2 linked regions of the Ovis aries genome follow. Each later gene encodes a partner of the first gene's protein in a complex. Links are inferred from orthologs where the notes say so. Each region holds a gene or a part of one and is shown in the gene's direction. Other genes may lie near its edges.

The links.
Region 2: the proteins of GBA1 (region 1) and SCARB2 are in contact, whole or in part, in a cryo-EM structure (PDB 9FJF), measured with the Homo sapiens proteins. The link is inferred for Ovis aries from reciprocal best matches to the Homo sapiens genes GBA1 and SCARB2. Residues at the interface, in NP_000148.2 of Homo sapiens: Leu130, Asn131, Ala134, Ile169, Glu190, Lys194, Leu195, Pro430, Arg434, Ile445, Thr446, Asp448; in NP_005497.1 of Homo sapiens: Lys161, Ala162, Tyr163, Gln164, Lys181, Glu183, Leu187, Phe191, Arg192.

The regions. Positions count from the first base shown.
Region 1 is NC_056054.1:105,406,094-105,410,346, reverse strand, and holds the start of GBA1 (lysosomal acid glucosylceramidase), read left to right. Parts: upstream 1-1,403; 5' UTR 1,404-1,546; coding exon 1,547-1,573; intron 1,574-1,929; coding exon 1,930-2,017; intron 2,018-2,426; coding exon 2,427-2,618; intron 2,619-2,731; coding exon 2,732-2,878; intron 2,879-3,098; coding exon 3,099-3,232; intron 3,233-3,441; coding exon 3,442-3,614; intron 3,615-3,842; coding exon 3,843-4,080; intron 4,081-4,253. UniProt on the Homo sapiens protein: Glucosylceramidase that catalyzes, within the lysosomal compartment, the hydrolysis of glucosylceramides/GlcCers (such as beta-D-glucosyl-(1<->1')-N-acylsphing-4-enine) into free ceramides (such as N-acylsphing-4-enine) and glucose.
Region 2 is NC_056059.1:91,865,410-91,869,884, reverse strand, and holds the start of SCARB2 (lysosome membrane protein 2), read left to right. Parts: upstream 1-1,398; 5' UTR 1,399-1,738; coding exon 1,739-1,855; intron 1,856-4,475.

The DNA.
Region 1 (4,253 bases):
TTATCGTACTGACCCCGTACAATCCTGTGCGATGGGAGTTATGACTTCCCTTTTATAGACGAGAAACAGAGGCTTAGCGTGATAAGCAGTTTGTCGCTGTTCAGTCACTAAGTCATGTCTGACTCTTGGCCACCCCGTGGACTGCAGCAGGCCAGGCCTCTCTGTCCCTCACCATCTCCCAGAGTTCACCCAAGCTCATGTCCATTGAATCGGTGATGCCATCCAACCATCTCATCCTCTGCTGTCCTCTTCTCCTTTTGCCTTCAGCCTTTACCAGCATGAGGGTCTTTTTCAGTGAGTTGGCTGCTCACATCAGGTGCCCAGAGTATTGGAGCTTCAGCTTCAGCATCAGTCCTTCCAGTTTATTGATGGTCAAACAGCCAGTAAATAGTGGAGCCAAGATTCAAACCAAGCTCCTCTCACCGAGACCATAGCTCCTCTAGGGTTATGGGAGCCTAGAAGAAGAAATGGTCAATTTCCCCTGGAGTTTATTTGGAAACACTTCACTGAGATAATTTAAAAAAAAAAAAAAAGACAAACAAGTGGTTCCCGAGGGTCTACTGTGTACCAGGCACTGTGCTTATCTTACTGATTGTAGTAATGACCTTGTGAGATGGTGGCATTTAACAGATGGGGAAATTTAACTGATGAGGAAATAGGCTCAGGGAGCTAGAGTCAGCCAGGTCTTGAATGTGTATGTCACTCCCACTAAATCTGTGATGTGGCCCATGAGGCAATACAAGCTCCTTCTCACATCCACTGAGGATACAGCTTTGTACCACACTTTGCAGTTTCTGAACTGCTCTACACAACCTCTCTGTCCTGTGAGAAAGGAAAAACAATTCCTTCTCATCTGTATCTGCTGATGAAACAAGAGAGGCCTGGGGAGGCACCGGCCCCCTGCCCAGGGCCCATCCTCCCTGCACTTCTCTAGTTAATACTCCTTATCCCTCACCCCTTCTCCATGAAGCCCTGTAGGAAGGGTCTCTGTGCACAGCTGTTACCAATTTTGTCCTTATCTATAAGCATCTGTGTGTCTGATTCCCCTGCTTATGAGCCTCTATAGTGCAAAGATTGCTTAATCATCACTCAGGATTTTGGCCTCAGTATTTTTGTACCATGATCCTCTTTTATTAGTATTAACCATTATCAGCATATCTTTAAAATATTTTCCTTAAGAAGGCAGTGTGCCTGCTGTGGCTCCCATCCTTTGGGATTCGGGAACCTCTACCCAATCCTTCATTAAGATCTTTCATCTAGATTCTTCCTAAAGCTGTCATCCATACATGCCTTCTAGAATTTCATAGGATGTATAAGCCCTCAGGAAGCCAGTCGGTTGCCCTTTACAAGTATGGTTGCAGTTGCCTCACTTCCTGGGTCATGTGACACTCCCATGGTTTCACGTGACTTGTTCCATTATGCCGGAATTAACCCGCAGGGCTAATCTGGCCTGTATAGCTATCACAGGCCCCTGCATCCCTGTTTTTATTTAGTTGATCCTCTATCCCTCAGAAGTTTGGGAACCCCAACGTCTTCTTGCCTGGTGATGGAGCTTTCAAGTCCTTCCAGAGAGGTAAGTGGGGACAAGGCTTCTAATTGGTGGTGTCATGCACTTTCTGGAATTCTGGCTAACCCGGCTCTGGAATTCAATGAATGACGGGCTCTCCTTGAAGCAGGTCATCATGCCTTTTTGATGGAGGGAAGGTGGGATCGAAGGGGAAGTGGTTGGGAAGAGGGGTGCAGGAGGGTCCTGCTTGGGGTGGGCAGAGAGCTATTACTAGCCGAGAGCTTGGAGGGAGGGCTGAACTCAGGTGTCTGTGGACTTTGTTCCATTCTGTTAAAGGTGGGAGACTAGGCAGTCGAGCCCTGCCTAGGAGAGTAGATGAGAGGTGGAGAGGGGCTTGCCTTCACTCCTCATTGTGTTCTCAGGATTATCCTGTGCCTCGGGGCAGAGTAGAAATCATGGCTGCCAGCCTCATGGGATTACTTCTACTTCATACAGTGTCGTGGGTATCAGGTAAGTGAGTCAGAGAGAAGGGAAGGAGCCCCAAGGCCCCCCTTCTGCCATATGGCCTTTGGCAGTCTCTGGCATACTGGTGGTGGACTTAAGTAGATGCTCAGTAAATCCTTTTGCGTGACTGAGAGCAACAGTGGGGTGGAGGTACAGCAGGATAATTTTTAAAACCATTTACTTATTATTTATTTGTGTGAGTTGGGTCTTTGTTGTAGCATGTGGGATCTAGTTTCCTGACCAGGGATCAAACCCCTGCCCCTTGCATTGGGAGCTCAGACTCTTAGCCATTGGACTGCCAGGGAGGCCCAGGAATTTTTGAAACCAGTATTTTGTCTTTCTTTTCAGCTAGTGGGTCCCTTCTCCCCATCTTCATCCCTCAGCCCTTGCCTCTCTTGTGCACCCTCCCTGCCAGGTGCCCGCCCCTGCATCCCTAAAAGCTTTGGCTACAGCTCGGTGGTGTGTGTCTGCAATGCCACATACTGTGATTCTCTGGACCCCCTGACCCTGCCTGACCCTGGCACCTTCAGCCGCTTTGAGAGCACTCGCAGCGGGCGCCGAATGGAGCTGAGTCTGGGGACCGTCCAGGCCAATCGCACAGGCACAGGTAACCAGCTCTCACCCAGGTTATGGTCCTTCTGGAGCCCAGTCATGCCAGCGATCAGCGTGGAGTTTCTCCCCTGTGCACTGACGCCTTTTATTCCCTGTGGATGTCCCCAGGGTTGCTGTTGACCTTGCAGCCAGATCAGAAATTCCAGAAAGTGAAGGGGTTTGGAGGGGCCATGACGGATGCTGCTTCTCTCAACATCCTTGCCCTGTCACCTGCTGCACGGAATTTGCTGCTCAAATCATACTTCTCCGAAGAAGGTGAGGAGGAAGGGACAGGATGACATAGTGCAGTTGGCTCTTTGACCTCTCCTTTCTCCCTGACATCCACCCATCCCTGACATTTGGGTCTCTGTTAATGCCCGGTGGGAAAAAAAATTGTCCTATCCATCCGCTGAGTGCCGGGGGCCTCCAGCTCAGATAGTCTGCCCTTCACCCTGCACCCCAGTTCCCTTTGGCCCTGACTCAGGAATTTCTACAGGAATTGAATACAACATCATCCGGGTCCCCATGGCCAGCTGTGACTTCTCCATCCGCACCTACACCTATGACGACAGCCCTGATGACTTCCAGTTGCTCAACTTCAGCCTTCCAGAGGAAGATGTCAAGCTCAAGGTGGGCACTCTGGCTGCCTCAGGCCCCAGCAGCATTGATGCCTGGTGATTGAGTGGCCTCAGGCTAGAACAGTTTGCAGAGAGACATAGAACTTGTCCCTGCCCTCTCTTGGGATGGGAGGGTAGAGGCTGATGGCTAGGCCAGATACACCAGTTGGGCCAGTCTATGTTCCAGCTCTGGGTGTCTCTCCTCACTACCTTTGTTTCCAGATACCACTGATTCACCAAGCTCTGGAGTTGGCCAACCGCTCTGTCTCACTCTTTGCCAGTCCCTGGACATCACCCACTTGGCTCAAGACTAATGGGGCCGTGAATGGGAAGGGGACACTCAAGGGTCAGCCGGGGGATCTCTACCACAAGACCTGGGCCAGATACTTTGTCAAGTAAGGAAACAGCAGGGCCGTCGGGCCTGGACCAGGCTCCCCTTTCACACACCCTGGTCTGCGTCCCAACCCTTGACCTGTTCGGCTGCCAGCTCTCAGCTCACCTTTCTACCTTCTGGGCCTTCAGGCTTAGGCCCCTCAGTTTTCCCCATTCAGTCCGACCTCCTAGTCCCCAGGGCCCTGGTCCCCTTTCTTGGCCATGATCCCTCACACCCTTGCCCTCGCCAGGTTCCTGGATGCCTACGCGGAGCACAAGTTACGATTCTGGGCAGTGACAGCCGAGAACGAGCCTACTGCAGGGCTCCTTAGCGGGTACCCCTTCCAGTGCTTGGGTTTCACTCCTGAGCACCAGCGAGACTTCATTGCCCGTGACCTGGGTCCCATCCTCGCCAACAGTACACACCGCGACGTCCGACTGTTGATGCTGGATGACCAGCGCTTGCTGTTGCCTCGCTGGGCCCAGGTGGTAAGGACCAGGACTCCTGTGGGCACCTTGTTTGGATGCTCAGTTGTGTCTGACTGTTTTTCGACCCCATGGACTATAGCCCTCCAGGCTCCTCTGTCCATGGGATTTCCCAGGCAAGAATACCGGAGTGAGTTGCCATTTCCTTCCCCAAGGGATCTTCCCAACCCAGGGAT
Region 2 (4,475 bases), on another chromosome or scaffold:
TGCACAAATGACCAATGGCCCCAGCTGCTGAGCCCTAAAATCTGTCATCTAGTTCTCATCCCCAGCATGGTGTAGAGGCCAGTTTCCTAGTGCTGCTCCCAGCCCATGACTAAATACGAGAAGCCTATTCCTGGGAGGCGCTGGGCTCCTGGGACAGGGTAGCTTGGCTTGAAGACTCCCCCAAGGCCTTGCTGAACTTTCTTAGAGCTTCACTGTAGCATAAGATGCTTCTTTCAACTCAACCTTCCTTCCTCCCCTCTCTCCTTCCTGCACCCCAGGTCTAGCTCCCCAACCATGTTCCCTCATTAATCTCTAGAGCAGTCTCCCCTCCAGATACTTTGGGCGGGGGACCAGGACAAAGAGCCACCAGGCTGCTGCCAGTATTAAATAGATGTGTGAGCACCTAATCAAGGCCTGGAGTATAGTTGATGTTCACTCAACTGATATTTATTGAGTCTCTGCTGAGTGAGGACTTTACCTGGGGTGACTAGAACACATTAGTGAGCAAAGCAGATGAGAACATGAGGGCCCCCTGCTTGAAGCTTCTTGCTGCCCCCAATGCGGAGGGATAAAGTCCCAACTCTCCTACAGGACACAAGAGTCCTTCAAAGTCTGACCCCAAGGGGCTTCCATACCCCTACCCCATACTGCACACCAGAGCCTAGAGTCAAAAAAGACTTTACTCCGGCAATCTCGGGTTTTTCAACCCCAATATCCTTTTTTTTTTTTTAAGTTTTAAAAAGCTTATTCTTAATTATGAAAGCTTAATTATTCTATAGAATAAGTATGTCTATACAAACAATTTTTTCTATAGAAATAATGGAGAGACCTCTAGCATGGTTGATCAATACAATTCTTTTTTTCCACCCCCCGCCCCTCGCCCCCGATATCTTAACACAGCTTTTTCTTCTCCAAAAGCTTCCCCTCTCCTTTGTACACACCCTTCACATGACAAACCCTTACCCATCCCCCTTGACCGGTTCAGTCGTGGGGTGCTAGATCACCAGGGTAGAGGTGCTTGCTGACACAGCTCTCCTCATCCACCTCTGAAAGCACTAGTTACATTGTGCTTTAATTGCTGTAACAGTGTCCCGCTATCTTGTGAGCTCGTGTAGATAGCAGGGGCAGCGTGTATCCATCCTGAATCCCCGGCGCTCGGCGCTTGGTAGCCCGCAGCTCGTATCTTGGGGAGAGAGTAGAGACTGGAGAGCAGGCGATTTTCCCGCGGTAACCACGGGGCCTGCGGCGAGAGGGCGGGGGCGTCGCTGGGCGAGGGTCAGGGAGCCGCCGGGGCTGGGCGGCCCCCGGGACCGGCCGCGGGGCGCTCGGGCCGAATCGCGGCCGCTGCCGCGGGGCACATGACTGCGGGCTCAGCCTCCGCCCCGCCCGCTTCCCCGCGCAGCTGCCGCCTGTCGCCTCCCGGGGTTGCGGCGGGCCGGGCCGGCGAGCGTCTCCGCGCTGCGCGCTCCCTCTGCCTCGCGAGCTGCGCCAGGCGGGCGCCGCGGCGACCGAGGCCGGAGAAAGCGAAACCAAAGCGAGACTCCCTCTCCCCTCCGGCCGGCCGGGTGCAAGCGGGGCCGCTCTCGCCCAGTCGCGGAGCCGGGAGCCGGGCCCCTCTGCTGGGCCGCAGGCGCCCGAGGGTCCCGGGTTTTCCGGCCGCTCCGCCGGCGCCCCTCCGTCTCTCCCTCCTTCCTTCTCCTCCGGTCGCTGGCCTCCCGGCCTTGGAGCGGTGCGCGGAATGGGCAGGTGCTGCTTCTACGCGGTGGGGACGCTGTCCCTGCTGTTGCTGGTGACTAGCATCACGCTGCTGGTGGCCCGAGTCTTCCAGAAGGCCGTGGACCAGACTATCGAGAAGGTGAGGCGTGGCGGGCTGTGTGCTGTGTGTGTGTGTGTGTGTGTGTGTGTGTGTGTGCTGTGTGTGTGTGTGTGTGTGTGTGCTGTGTGTGTGTGTGTGTGTGTGTGTGTGTGTGTGTGTGTACGTGTACGGGCGCGCGCGTGAGCCGGGTTGGGTGGACACTTTCAGCCCACCCTCCCACTGCTGAACCTTGTGCAGGGTGGATCTGCACCCCCTATAACCCTAGTCCAGAGGCTAGGGCCCTCCTTTCTTCCTTGTCTTCTTGGGCTGGGTGGGTAAGAGTTAAGGAAGGCTGGAGAGGAATAATTCTGTTCCTTTTAGAGTAATAAACAAGACTGTGGGTCTAGATTTTGAAAGAAGGCTTTCACTTACATTGTCATTTGTTTTCTGGGCCCTCCCCGCGCCCCAATCTCTGTTGGGCCCAAACTCATTTCCCTCCCACTTTATGAAGAAAAACTAAATGAAAGACACCGCCACCCCGCAGGTGTGTTGGCTGCTTGCCCTGGCCTTTGAAGTGGTGTGAGATGGGGATGAGAGGCTGGTGCCTCGTCTGTTGTGTTCTTGCCTTCCTGGGCTGAGCCCCGCACTTGGTAGCCAGGCCAGGCCTGCGGGCTGGGTGACATTTCAGTTCATCAGAGCCTGTGCTGACTAGCTGACTTAGCAGCTTGGTGTCTTGTACCAGCAGTCTGTGCTGCTTTGTCTCAACATGGATTTCTTGCTCTTCTCAAACAACCCTGCTGCTGCTGCTAAGTCGCAAGAGGACTGGAGTGGGGTGCCATCGCCTTCTCCGCAAACAACCCTAAGCTTAGGCAAAGCTCCATTTAAATTCTTAATCTGAGCCCATCTCTTCCTCTCAGATGAGTGGGCTGGAGAGCTGGTCACTTCAGACCTCTCCATCCTATGATTTCACCAGTGGTCATTTCTCTTGCCCTTTCACCCACATCCACCAATCTGTGTGGAAAGAGGAACCAGAGAGAGTTATTGGGGTCACTTTTTCCTTTTTAAAAAGTTATTGGAGAAGCCTTTCTTGTTAGCACCCATCACTGCCTGATTTCTTCCACTCGTTTACACTTGCTGTTGGCTAGATAATAAAAGCTGGGGCCTCCTCCAGAATTGGTCACTGCGCTCCCAGTTAGCAAAATTGTTTCATTCCAGGTGGCAACAGACCTATTTCTTAAATAGAGGTTTCTAAAAGTCATCAATTACTTGAAATCTGAAGCCACTTAAAAAAAAATGCCCTGGCAAAACATAGTTTAATTTTTTAAAAGTTCACATTGTCAAGGGGTGACAGAACCCACTGTCTGAGCTTCTCAAAGGCTATTGTTCAAAGCGTGTTCAAAGAAAAAACTAAATTGAATCTCTCCACCCTTGTCCACCTGTCCTTGGCAAGGTAGTTTAAGGATGTAACCTCTTTGAGGATGTAACCTCTTGCTTGGATGTCTAGAGTTAAGCAATCCAATGATAGTCAATTGGATTTTCTTGTGTGGCTTTGAAAGGCTGTTTCAGGAGAGGTCTGTGAGATGGGTGACCTCCCCACCCTGTGCCTCAGGCATTGTCAGCCTTCGGATGCTCTGTGGGTCTACATTCATGGGCACTGGGTAGGGAGGTGGTGGGGGTGGAGGGCAGTTGTAAGGCAGCTGGGCTGCGGCTTAAGTTTGCACTGATATTTGGTGATTGGCTTTTAAAGGTGGTTTTCTCCATGAAGAATGGACTCTGATCTGACTGTAAATGAAAGTACAGGAGAAGTGAACTTTCAGAACTGGCTCACTCTGTTAAGGAACACTGCACCATGTGCTGTTTGAAACTAATGACAGGGCTAGGTGTGGACAGGTGTGGAAATATGGTAAGACAACCAGAGGTCACGCGTTACCATCACTACCACTCCGCTTTCCTGGGTCGCCTGTAGGGGGGTAGCATGAGATGGCGGAAAGAGTAAGGACTTCGCAGGTTAATTCGCAGGCAGGAATCCGGCTCCACTGTGTACTAGCTGGGTAACCTTAGGCTAGTACTTAACCTTTCTTAATTCTAGGCTTTTCCATCTGTAAATGAGGATAACAACTATTCATGTAAATAGAAGAATTATAAGAATTACTAGAGAAAATGGGTGTACTTTTCATGGGATACAGTAGTATGTATAGTTATTTGTAGGGCTTCCCTGGTGACTCAGCAGTAAAGAATCCACCTGCAATGCAGGAGACATGGGTTCAATCCCTGGGTGGCAAGATCCCCTGGAGAAAGGAATGGCAACCCACTCCAGTATTCTTGCCTAGGAAATCCCATGGACACAGGAGCCTGGAGGGCTCCAGTTCATGGGGCGTCTAACCACCACCACCACGATAGTTATTTGTAAATGATAGCAGTTTTATTTTTGCTAGAAGCAAATAAAAAATACATGAGATTGGAGGTTAGATACCCTATGTTCAAATCCTAGCCCTGACATTTCTAGGCTGTTTGCCTTTGGGAAAGTTACATAACTTCTCTGAACCTGTTTCATTCCTGAGAGAAATGAGAATGTTAGCCATCTTGGGGGTGCATTTACCATGAAACTCACAAAGCTTACACTTTGGGTCCCTCACTTGCACGGGCCCTTCCAAGGCCCTCTACCTAATTCTGTATGCAA